Oryza sativa Japonica Group: one gene and its partners. The protein of the gene in region 2 interacts with the protein of the main gene of each other region in a pairwise test. Links are inferred from orthologs where the notes say so. Each region holds a gene or a part of one and is shown on either strand. Other genes may lie near its edges.

What was found.
Region 1: the proteins of protein TIFY 10b (region 2) and histone deacetylase 6 interact in binary tests that used the Arabidopsis thaliana proteins (3 or more experiments, as listed by UniProt). The link is inferred for Oryza sativa Japonica Group from reciprocal best matches to the Arabidopsis thaliana genes JAZ1 and HDA6.
Region 3: the proteins of protein TIFY 10b (region 2) and scarecrow-like protein 23 interact in binary tests that used the Arabidopsis thaliana proteins (3 or more experiments, as listed by UniProt). The link is inferred for Oryza sativa Japonica Group from reciprocal best matches to the Arabidopsis thaliana genes JAZ1 and AT5G41920.

The regions. Positions count from the first base shown.
Region 1 is NC_089042.1:15,629,408-15,633,779, reverse strand, and holds the start of histone deacetylase 6, read right to left. Parts: upstream 2,840-4,372; 5' UTR 2,768-2,839; coding exon 2,225-2,767; intron 223-2,224; coding exon 1-222. UniProt on the Arabidopsis thaliana protein: Responsible for the deacetylation of lysine residues on the N-terminal part of the core histones (H2A, H2B, H3 and H4). Might remove acetyl residues only from specific targets, such as rDNA repeats or complex transgenes.
Region 2 is NC_089041.1:25,571,847-25,575,867, forward strand, and holds protein TIFY 10b, read left to right. Parts: upstream 1-1,237; 5' UTR 1,238-1,495; coding exon 1,496-1,628; intron 1,629-1,766; coding exon 1,767-1,917; intron 1,918-2,437; coding exon 2,438-2,700; intron 2,701-2,808; coding exon 2,809-2,866; intron 2,867-2,962; coding exon 2,963-3,092; 3' UTR 3,093-3,498; downstream 3,499-4,021.
Region 3 is NC_089041.1:23,033,366-23,037,484, reverse strand, and holds the start of scarecrow-like protein 23, read right to left. Parts: upstream 2,873-4,119; 5' UTR 278-2,872; coding exon 1-277. UniProt on the Arabidopsis thaliana protein: Probable transcription factor involved in plant development.

The DNA of each region.
Region 1 (4,372 bases), on a different chromosome or scaffold from region 2:
CTGGAACAGATCACGAAAGGTATCATCATCAATGCCATCACTCAGGGGCACATTTAAAGCATAATGTTTTCCTTCGCCTGCTCCAACATCAGTGATATGCCCAGTACCAGGGAAAAAGTCCCCATACTTGTGAAAGGAACAAGTCATGACTCGATTCGTAGTGAAGAAAGCTTCCTCCACGCCATCTCCATGGTGGACATCAATGTCTACATATAGCACACGCTACAACAAAAGAAGAATGATAACTATCAGAAAAATTAGGTAGCCATAGGACTGTTGTAGCAGCAGCAATATTCAATAGCATCAGAGAAGTGCAGTTGTGGTTTAGAAAGCCAAGATGAAATTCTTGATGTATTCCACAATCAACACACTAAAGCTTGATGAAACATGGATCACGATGCTGAATAAGTTTGCAACACATGCCTTCCAAATTTTATTAAGCCTGGTGATTAAAAAATTTAAAAGATATGTTCAGGACTTATTATATTGGAAAGTACGGTATCTAAAACAGTTCTCCAGGAATGGTAAATAATTACTCCCTCCGTTTCAGGTTATAAGACGTTTTGACTTTGTCAAAGTCAAACTGCTTTAAGTTTGACCAAGTTTGTAGAAAAAAGTAGTAACATTTTCAACCCAAGACAAACTTGTTATGAAAATATATTCAATTATTGATTTGATGAAACTAATTTAGTATTATAAATATTACTATATTTTTCTATAAACTTAGTCAAACTTAAAACAGTTTGACTTTGACCAAAGTCAAAACATCATATAACCTTAAATGGAGGGAGTAGTACTAAATGAATTACAAGTGAAAGGTACACATATAGATCATGATATTTCAGCAGCAACATTTATTGTAAATAGATGCGAATAATTACATTAAAGCCAGTCATATGAGCAACAAACTGGATGAAGTATCTGTGAAAGTAATACTGGACTGAGTTACTGATAAATGGTCAGAAAACAATCAACAGATGGTTCCAAAAAGTCCAAATCACAAAGATTAATGCTGCATGCATATCAAAAAGAAAATGTTGTCTAGCAGTAAAGTAACCAACACAACTATATCACCAGCAATACCACATATTCCAAAACAATCCATGCATATAAAAATTCCATTTAGGATATACATGTTAGTTCACATCACAGAAAAAAAATATTCTTGCTAACAATGGATGAATGGACCATTAAAGATACATCCCAGTAAGATTGGCCATATTAACCATTTCACATCACATCTATGTCACCTTCTTTTCAGTTAAAACTAATGCCAATACCTAATAATCAAATCAGATAAACAACTTACTGACAGAAAAAGTAACCATATGAACAGTAATATCACACACTCAATAAATATACAAACTAGTTAAAATTTAGCTGCAAAATCACTAGGAATGTGGCTGCAAAGCTGATTTATAAAAGAAAAGATGATAACTACTTTATTCGGTCACACAGTTTTTTTGGGTGTTGTTAAGGCTTCTAACATGCAGCCTTGAGCTGATTTGTGTTCGAACATATTTTGTACATCCCAACCAAGTTATAATATTCTGAAAGCATTTTTAAATTTTTATAGACAACTCAACCAGCTGTATTTAATGTTGATCAATCTAACTATCTAAGCATTCACAAATAAAATGTTGGACAACATTAAGACAATAACCATGCCCATAATGTCACTAGTAACATAAGCAACCTCCGCTCATAAAAACTCAGCAAAATCCCCAAAATGCACCATTTGTTTCAAACTTCCTCAAATATGTCGGGCCAGGTAAAAACATAGAAATCATTCATATATCTAAATCCAATGAAAACAAACAATTAACACTGAAAGCAAATATGGAATCCTATTGCAAGATTAAACAAACACACGAGCATGAACGCGTGCATGCACTCACAGAAAGAGATAGAGCCCTTTAAATTTCTACAATCACCTAATCAGGCATCCGAACAATAGTAATTTCTCCTCGCAGTGTTGGAAGTCAAACCACCAAATCCCTCCCCAAGTCTTAGCATCTTCTTCACCACGCACTAAAAAATAAAAACTAAACCGAAACACAAACCCAATGCACTCAAATATTCGCGTCCATCAGCGGGAACCATTCCAATTCGCATCTAAATTTAGACAACGACCTCCAAATCGTAATGCCCCTCCTCCTCCTCCGATCACAGGACAGGTACACAACACAACCAAGGCAAGCATCCCAACAAAACAAAGGCATACCCTGTGGAACTTGAGGAGCTCGAGGATGGCGAGGACGATGTCGTTGACGTAGCAGAAGCCGGAGGCCTCGCCCTTCTTGGCGTGGTGGAGGCCCCCCGCCCAGTTGACGGTGATGTCGGCGTCGCCGCGGTTGAGCTTGACGGCGGCGCCGATGCTGCCCCCCGCGGAGGCCTGGCAGAAGGGGAAGAGGCCGTCGAAGACCGGGCAGTCCTCGCCGACGTTGAAGCGCTTGACGGCGCGGGCGTCGAGCAGGGCGGGGTTCCCGGTGGCGGAGGCGAGGAAGGCGACGTAGTCGTCGGAGTGGAAGCGGCGGATGTCGGCGTCGGAGGCCGGGTAGGGGCGGGAGAGCTCGAGGAGGCGGTGGAGGCCGTAGTGGACCACCAGCGAGTGCGCCATGCGGATGCGATGGGGCTTCATCGGGTGCCCCTGCCCGTAGTAGTAGTCCCCGATCGACGGCTCGTAGAAGTAGCTCACCCGCCGCCGCCGCCCGTCCTCCCCTCCCGCCGCCGACGCCAGCGACGCCCCCTCGCCGGACGCCGCCATTTCGGAGGATTTCTTCTTCTCTTTTCTTTTTTTTTTCCCCTTTTTTCCCCTTGTGGGAAGGGAAGGACCTTCTCTCTGCCTTGTGGTTTCCGGGGGTTTATAGCCAAGGCAAGGAGACGGGAGGGACAGAGGGATTCAGTTTTTCCCTTCTTTTTTTCCTTTTCACCCTACACGTCATAGAATTTATAGGTTTTCTGCATTGGTTATTTTTCGACATTTTGCATTAACTTTTTTTTTGAAAAAATGGCATATTATTGTAATTTTTACCTTTTTATTCAAAATATAAGGATTTTTGGGTTTCATAGTTTTCATCATTTTAATGATTTCAAAGCTAATAGATGTCGGGTAGAGAATCTATCTAGAAATACTTATATTTTTTTACAGGAAACACTTTATATTTCGGAACGGATGAGTATATGATAGGATTTTTACAATGGTGAATAGTGGTAGTGAAATAATCCTGGGTTGGACTAAAACTAATCGCAATAGTTAGGAGGACCAAAATTTTATTTTCTTACTTGTTTGGAAAATAGATGATGAAATTCTTTTTTATGCCGAAATAGCCATATGTTTCTCTTGCAAAGGAAGCATTGCTTTAAACCCATACAATTTAATGCAAGCGTTACTTGTAGAGATGTTTGCAATATAATCTTTTGACTTTTAGTAATATAATATGTGATGTTACCGTTGGTCGAGGATGACCAATATGTCCTCGAGCAATGTGTTTTTTCTCGTGGTAGTGTTTGCCATTGCAGTTTGTTGGAGGCTAACTAGGAAAGAAATTTTGCAGTTGTTTAGTGAAATAAGGCACACGAAGAAAAAAATGTAGGAAGTGATGAGAGAATTTGGCCATTAGTTCCCATTATAGAAACTAAAACATAATCAGTAGAAATAGACAGTGAATAAATAGGTAAGAAAAGAGATGTTAGAAAACAGCTCGAAGATATTATCACCTACTTTACTTGACATGTTGGTAAAATAAACATAAATGTTCCTTATGGTATACTATATATGTATGCAAAGAGTTGTCTGGTGAAGGAAACATATGAAGTTGCAAACCATCAAGTATAATACCATTTCCTTCCGCAAACAAATGGCATGCATCATTAATACATGAAAAGAATAAAACATTAATATTTAGTATGTAAAAAATGATATTTATAAATTTGTTATGAAAAATACTCACATACTCCCTTCATCCAAAGAAACCAACCTAGTACCGGATGTAACACATCGTAGGACTACAAATCTGGACATACATATATCCAGATTTATAGTATTAGAATATGTCACATATGGTTTTAGATTCGTTTTTTATGTAACGGAGGGAGTATACAAATATGCATGTCGTCCTACTTGCATCACATATTATGCTTTTTTTACAACAATAAGTTATTAGTACTAGTAGAGAATTAATGCATAACAACCATTGCTTGAACTATGGTGTACTTGTAGAATGTAAGGTTCAACCAGAAATTATAAATGTAAGAGGAGCATATAATTTTATAAAAGTGCTTGGAAAATATTGAAGGTATTCTACTTTAATGAAACAACAATTTGTTTCTCTCGTAAATGATACATAGTTCACAAATGACATGGATTAAA
Region 2 (4,021 bases):
TCCGGAGAATATTTAAAAGAGGAGGGGGAGGGGAGCAGTCGCGGTGGGGCCCACCACCCCCTCGCTCCGCACACGAACCACGTGCGGAATCCGCGCATTTAGTACTCGCATCGTCCCCCCCAGCCCGCGAAATGATACCGAATTGAATAAAATAATATTTAAAAGAAGAAATCTGTTACTCCGTTCCAAAATACAGTTACTTGTAATAACAAAATATTCTTCTATAGTAAACCTATTTATCCATCAATATCCTTCTAACCCATCACAAAGTTCACAACCCTCGTCCATTTATTTCATTCATCTTATTTTTTATCTCAACAAATCATAATATTTCTCCAATAAATTTTACTTACTTTCTTAATACCTACTACTATGTCTAAAAAAAGATAAACTTTAGCTACGAATCTAGACACGCATATATTCGTAGCTTACATACGTGTCTAAATTCGTAGCTAGAATTGAATTTTTTTTAAGACGCTAGGGTACCATCTATCTATTTTATAATTATTTACTCCATCTGTCTCAGAATATAACAACCAATGATTGATGGTGTTCATCATCTATCTATTTTATAATTATTTACTCCATCTGTCTCAGAATATAACAACCAATGATTGATGGTGTTCATCATTGGTTGCTATATTATGAGACAGGGGGAGTATATTTCTAGAACAGATGTAACTCCCTTCGTTCTAAAACGTAGTACTCTTATTATGATATAATAACAAAGTTGGATAGAGATGAATCCAGTGGTAATAATTGAGATAAGGTAAAAGGTAATTTATAAGTAGTATTTTGGAACGAAGAGAGCAACTATTTTCTCCATTCCAAATTAAATTATGGGATAAACATATCGTAATAATACTATAAATTTAGACATATTTGTATTACTACAATATGTCACATTGTGTTAGATTAACTTATTCCAGTACGGAGTACTCCCTCCGTCCCAAAAAAAAAAGACACCCTGGCTTCCATGCCCAACGTTTGACCGTCCGTCTTATTTAAAAAAATTATGAAAAAAATTAAAAAGACAAGTCACACATAAAATATTAATAATATTTTTTTATTTAAAAGAATTATAAAAAAATTTCATACAAGACGGACAGTTAAAGTTGGACACGAAAATATATAGGGTTTGTTTTTTTTGGAGGGAGGAAGTAGGTAATTAGGAGAAGAAAAAAATGGGAAGAAAGAAAATCCGCGAGGTTAAATTGAATCGAATTGAGTGGTGACCAGAAACCGCAGCGGCTGCGTCGTCTCCGTCTCCTCTCCTTGCTTATAAACGCTCGCGCACGAGCCTCTCTCTCTCTAGCTCTCGCTCTCGCAGCTCAACCACTAGCAGCAGCGGCAGGAAGGCGAGAGGAGGAATCGGAGGTAGCTGGACGGCGGCGAGGCGACGACGAGCCGGGGTGGTGCAGCAAGAACGGCGCGGCGAGCGGCGGGGAGGAGAGATTGGATCGACGCCGGGTAGTTAGGAAGGGAGCTTGGAGAGATGGCGGCTTCCGCGAGGCCCGTCGGCGTCGGCGGGGAGAGGGCGACGAGCTTCGCCATGGCGTGCAGCCTGCTCAGCCGCTACGTCCGCCAGAACGGCGCCGCCGCCGCCGAGCTCGGCCTCGGCATCAGAGGTGAGGAGGAGAAGGGAAAAAAAAAAGAACTCATCCCTTTTTTTGTGGGTGTGCTTCGGCTTGGTTGGATCTTCATCTTCAGCTTCGGTTTCGTGTTGAGATCTGATCACAAGGTTTGGGGTTTTGGTTCGGTTCCAGGTGAGGGTGAGGCTCCGAGGGCGGCGCCGGCGACGATGAGCTTGCTGCCCGGGGAGGCGGAGAGGAAGAAGGAGACCATGGAGCTCTTCCCGCAGAGCGCCGGCTTTGGCCAGCAGGATGCCATCACCGCCGATTCTGCTGCTGATGCTAGGTATGGGGCCATGCCACTTGGTTCTCTGCTTCATTTTTGTGCAGTTCCTGCTCCTTAGGTGTATGTGTGTGTGTGTCCTAGTTCTTGGAATCACGCAGAGAAATGACAAATTTTGCAGTCTACAAAACTTAGCTGTAAGTGCCTCAATAGGTTGAAGCCACTGTTTTTGGTATCAAATCTAGTTGAGGGGAGAGAGGGTTATGAGTAAACATTTTGTTGTTTTTTGCTTTGGGTTCAGATACTAATTGGAATTAGGCAAGCAGAGTTACTAGGTCATTCAGACTTCAGGGAGTTGTTAATGGATCTATAAAAACTTTACCTATCTTTGTTAATAGAAAATTTTAACCCCAAACTTAGGGTTTTTTTTTTGTTTAAACTGGGGCACTGAAAACGTAGTTTCAAAAAGAACCCTTTTTATGCTTGCCGGTGAAAATAGAGTTAGTCAGATGGTGCAGAATTGGAGGGGTGATATACTGGTATCCCAGGTGTTCATAGTGTTCTCTGTGCAAATGAATTTCAGGGAACAAGAGCCTGAGAAGCGTCAGCTGACCATCTTCTATGGTGGGAAGGTGCTCGTGTTCAACGACTTCCCAGCCGACAAGGCAAAGGGCTTGATGCAGCTGGCTAGCAAGGGCAGCCCGGTGGCTCCTCAGAATGCCGCGGCACCTGCACCAGCAGCTGTTACAGACAACACCAAGGCCCCTATGGCCGTGCCGGCCCCGGTCAGTAGCTTGCCTACAGCTCAGGCCGATGCTCAGAAGCCTGCTCGCGCGAATGCTTCTGGTAATTACTCTGCCCTTTCTTGATGTTCATGTCTGTCGGGGTATTGAACGCATAACCAGTTGAATTTTGTTGTAGCAGTTATCAAGTGACCTCTTTTTTTCTGTGTAGATATGCCTATTGCTAGGAAGGCATCACTCCACAGGTTCCTTGAGAAGAGAAAGGATCGGTAAGTTGTTTTGCTGTGATGATTTGCATGATGTTTAAGTTCAGTATTTTGATCACTGCAGTTCATGGATCTAATATGCGCCTTTTGTTGTCACAGTCTTAATGCAAAGACGCCATACCAGGCTTCTCCTTCAGATGCAACCCCAGTCAAGAAGGAGCCTGAGAGCCAGCCATGGCTCGGACTAGGGCCGAACGCCGTCGTGAAGCCCATAGAACGCGGCCAATGAGGTTGCATGGAAACTTCACCAAAGCTCTTCAAAAATATATGAAATGCGCTTGCCGTTAGAGTACCAAATCATATATGTTCTCTCATACCCCATGTTTTAGTGTTTTTTCTTTAGTTCGTGCTTCTATGTTGTTCACTTGTCACATAGTTCTGAATGTAAAGGAAAAAGGTAGTAGCATTGACGACCAGTGCCGAGAGCCTGAGAGAAGTTTTGGCATGTTAACACATGGTGACTCTGAAAATGGCCATGCTAAGGTAAAAAGTTATTGCAAAGGAAACATATATGTATCTTCTGAAATTCTGATCATCTGGCTTTGTCCTTGGCTCTAGCCTTGCTCTATGCAAAGCAAAGTGATTGTAATGGATTCAGAATATAATTCATATTCCTATTGTTGATTTCTGTTACATGGCTTATTGGCTTGGTCCTCCTCCAATATGTCTGCATTATTTGGTCCCCATTATATGTGCCTGCAGAGTCAATTTGCTCTTGGACTTTCTTTTTTCCTTTTCTTGACGCGTTTTCATTTTTTCTTAAATGCAAACCTCATTATTTAGCATAAAATAATAACTACATACACAAACTACAAACTAATGGAATATTTGATGTTCCACAAACACAATTATTAGTGATTGCCTATGAATCTTTTCTGTTTTGTAGCTATATATTTTATCATCATGCAAAGGGGATACAGGGCAGCACAGGAGGCAGCCTGGGGTAGGTTGGATGGCACTGTCAAGCTGAAGATAAGGGTTTTGCGAAGGAAGGTGCACAAGGCAAGACTTGTCACCCCATGCCCAATTCTTTAATCAAAAGATATGAGCACATGTGAGAAATTGGGGGTGGAGATGAGTTGATAGGATTCTTGTTTGACAGCTAAAGCAAAGCAAAGCATGAAGAGCAAAACAACAGGAAGCTGTTTGGAAATTGCA
Region 3 (4,119 bases), about 2.5 Mb from region 2:
CCGGCAGCAGGTCCCGCGCCTCCGGCAGCTGGTCCATCGCCACCGCCTCCGCACACCTCAGCAACAAACTAAGCAGCCGCAGCCCACGCGTCTCCGCCGCCGCCTCCTCCTCCTCCCCCGTACTCACCACCACTAACCCTTGCTTCCCCTCAGCAGCCAGCCGCTTCCCACGCGCGCGCTCCCGCTCGCCGCCTTCCTCCTCGTCGTCGGCCGCGCGCTTCGCCTTCATCGCTGCCGCGTCGGCGCCGGGAGCTCGCGACAGGACTCCCTGGAGCATCACGTCAGCCTAAACAATAATTTCCCGGTGACCCTTCTCCGTGGCAAAACCACTGCAACAAGCAAGCATAGCATAGCAAGCCCGCAGCTGATGATGATAACGCTAGCGGGAGAGACACTGTGAGAGAGGCGCGGGTCGCCGTTAGCGTTGGACGCTGGCGCGCGCGGGAGGGGGAGGCCGCCTGTGCGGTTTGTCGGGTTGCTGGTAGCTGCTCTCGCGTCCCGTAGCGGGCGGCGCCCAGGCAGAGGGAATCAAAGGACGGGACCGGTTTTTTTTTCTACTACACAATAACACCCGATTTTTCTCACGATCGCGCGATGGCGAGGGACGCTAGGTCGGGTCGGGTCGGCAGCAGCAGGAGGCCGTGGGGGAAAGCTGCACGCACACGAGACGACGGGGGTGAGTTGATGGACAGCATGTGATCATTTGATGGTGGAAGAGACGAGCAGAGCAGCGGGCGAGCGAGCGCGAACAGTGCGGGGGACGAGGGGACGGACAAAACCTCCCCCTCGGATACCAGCGATCGATCGGTGGTGGAGTGGGGCGTCAGCGTCTCTGGTTCCAGCATGCAGCCTTGCCGATCTCTGTAGTCTGTACTAGTCTGTAGAGCGCTGGCCCGGCTGGTTGGTTGTCTGGTTGATCTCCTGCGATGTGAGAAGGTTGTGTACTTGTACTGGGTTTTTTACCAGCGTCGTTGATGATGTCGCGATTGGTGGGTTTTCCCCCGTGAGCCGCGCGGTTTCTGTACTGGGTACTGACTGGCTCGTCACTGTGCGATGCATGTCGCCACAGGAAAAGACGGTGTGCGGCGTCGGCGGATCCCCGCTGTCAACTCAACTACCAAACTGAACAACGAGAGTACAGTTCAGGCAATGGTAAAACCGTAACAGTGAATCCAAATGGGCCCTTTGTGATATTTTTGGTTAGGTTTCCAATTGGAAAAAGTGCTCCGAAGGTCCCTCAACTTGTCATCGAGTTACAAAATCGTCCCCCAACCATAAAATTAGATATATGACATCCCTCAATTTTCGAAACCGGTCACTTTACATCCTCAAGCGGTTTTGATCCCGGTTTTGTCCTACGTGGCAACTGAATCAATATGGGACCCACGTGGACCCCACATGTCAGAGTAGCCACGTCATGGCACCCTCAATTCCTCTGTCTTTCCCCTATTATCGTCTTGAAGACATGGGCGATCTCCTCGGACAGCACGTTGGAGGACACCCGCTTCTTGGTCGTCGCCAGCGGCGGCGGCGCTCACTCCAGCGCGGCATCAGCCGCATCGTCCAATCCCTCTGGACACGGTGCGGCGGTGGCAGAGCGGCAGGTGCGGAGGTTCCACGGCCGTTGCGGACCCCGCTGAGGCAAACTGCCGACGCCGACGCCGTCAGTGGAGCTGTGGGCGGTCTTCTCCTTGTCCGGCGACGGGGTGTCCGGCACCGCGGGTGGAGGCGATGAGGCGGGGTTCTTGGAGCAGCGGAGGAGGCGGTGGTTGCCCCAGCTGAGGTTGGGGAACGAGAAACGATGGAGCTGCGTGCGCGATGGCGGCGGCGTCCTCGCTCTCCCCGTTCCCTCCCCGCCAGGCCCCGACGCGGCGCGACGGCAGCAGCCTCGTTCTCCCCGTCCCCTCCCCACCAGACCCCGACGCGGCGTGACGACGACGGCGTCCTCGCTCTCCCCGTTCCCTCCCTGCCAGGCCCGGACGTGGCGCGACGGCGGTGGCGTCCTTGCTCCCTCCGTCCCCTCCCCGCGGCTGCGGCGGCGGCTGCTGCTCGGCCTCGAGCGGGCTTTGCCCGAGCGGTTGCTCGCCGCTCTCGTTGGCTCGGGCTGCGCAGAACGACGGGGCGAGGCGGAGCGAGTGGTGGAACGGGAGCGGGAGGAGGCGGGTGGAGGTGGTGAAGAGGATGAGGCGGCTAGTGGCGAAGGCGTCGGCGAGGAGGCCGGACGCAACGAACTGGGCGTGGATCTGGAGGAGGTGGCGCGCCTGAGCTGCCTCGGGTGGTGCGGTGGCTTTAGGCACACACCGTGCCGGCGTGGACTGTCGAGCGAGTGTGGCGGAGCCGCGGCGTGGGACCAGCCTACAGTCAACCTCCGTTGTCCGCCGTGCCATGAACTCCATCCCAGAGAAGAGAAGAAAAGAGTGAGGGGAGAGAGAGAGGAAGAGAAAGGAAGTGAGATGACCTGGGCTCCTGACATGTGGGGCCCACGTGGGTCACACGCTGACTCAGCCGCCACGTAGGACAAAACCAGGGACAAAACCACCGAAGGATCTATTGTGACCGGTTTTGATTAGTTAAGGGACGCCGGATATTCGGTTTTACAGTTGGAGGACGATTTCGTAACTCGATAACAAGTTGAGGGACCTTCGGTGTATTTTTTTCCTTTCCTTTCCAATTCCAAAGCCCCAAAAATGAGCAGAGCCAGACTCGGGGCCGAATGCACGTGAACTTGGCTAATCTCAGCAGGAAAAAGTCCACTTCACCTCTCTCAGCTATAGTTCAAGTCCAATTACAATAGTAAAATCAAATATAGGTGCTCCCTCAACTATGAAACCCGGATCAATTTATCTTCCTTATTGGTTTATAAGGCGGTTTCAGCTAACACGTCAACTATGTGTCACGTTGATTTGGTCTTCATTCATGATGGCAATTACGCGACATTACAATCAGAAAAATAAAAAAAAGAGTAAAAGTAAAAAACTCCAATTGAACCACATGCTAGTGACACTGAAAACAATCCCTCTTTAATCTCTAAAACATGACCAACGTGCCATTCTCCCTCGTGTCTTCTCTCCGACAACAACAATACCGACGTTGATTTGTGCTGCGGAACTCAAGCTCCTCTTTGGAGTAGATCGGAGACAACGGCTTCTCCCTAGCAGTGGCAAGCGGTCCCCACCTCTCAAGCAAGAGAAGTTGCGGGACGTTATCACCGTCTCCGTGAAAAACCGCTGTCTCGATGCCACCTAGATCTGAGCAACTAAGTCATTGGGGACATAAGGAATTCCCTATCCTCTGTCTCATTTTCCCTTTAAGGGAATTCATCGCCGGGGTGAGGCTTGGAGACAATTGTCTCCACTGCCACTATCTTTTCCACACACTGTTGCCACCATGTAGGATAGCTTGAGCTCTGCCACATCGCTGGGATTATCCTGTCCACTCAGGCCTCCTCGATACTACCTCCATACTCGTCTGTAATAACAGTCACACGGAGGATGAACAGCAAATAAAGGCAAATAGGCACACTAAGCGGCACACACGGTCCGCACTCACCATCACTTCCCCTAGAGAGATGGGAGAGGGAGGAAGGAGGAAGGCTGCGGAGAGTGGAAGAGATATGGAATGAATGGAGAGGTAGAGGAAGACGATGACTAGATCCTATTGTTTTTTATTCTTTTTCTGATTGTGATGCCACCCGAGGTGGTACATTGAGAAAACTGTGTCAACGTGCCCTGCAGGATGAAACGACCATTTAAATTGCTCAGAGAGACAAATGAACCAGTTGGGGAATCTTCATGTCTGGTTTTGTGGCCAAGGGATACTCCCTTCCTCCCATAATATAGGAAGTGGCAAAAGGACAATGCATAGTACAAAATCAATAAGTGATGGTTACGAGAATAAAATAGTAAAACTAAACTAGTAGGTGGGGAAAAGATGCCAGTTGTTAGGGATTAAACTAGTACTCCATCTATTTCATATTATATAAGTCATTTTAAACATTTTATAGTTAAACTCTTTTTAATTTTGACTAGATTTATAAAAACATATAACAATATTTCTCACAAAAATCAAACATATTTAATTTATATTAAAATGAGACTAATTTGGTGTTATATATGTTAC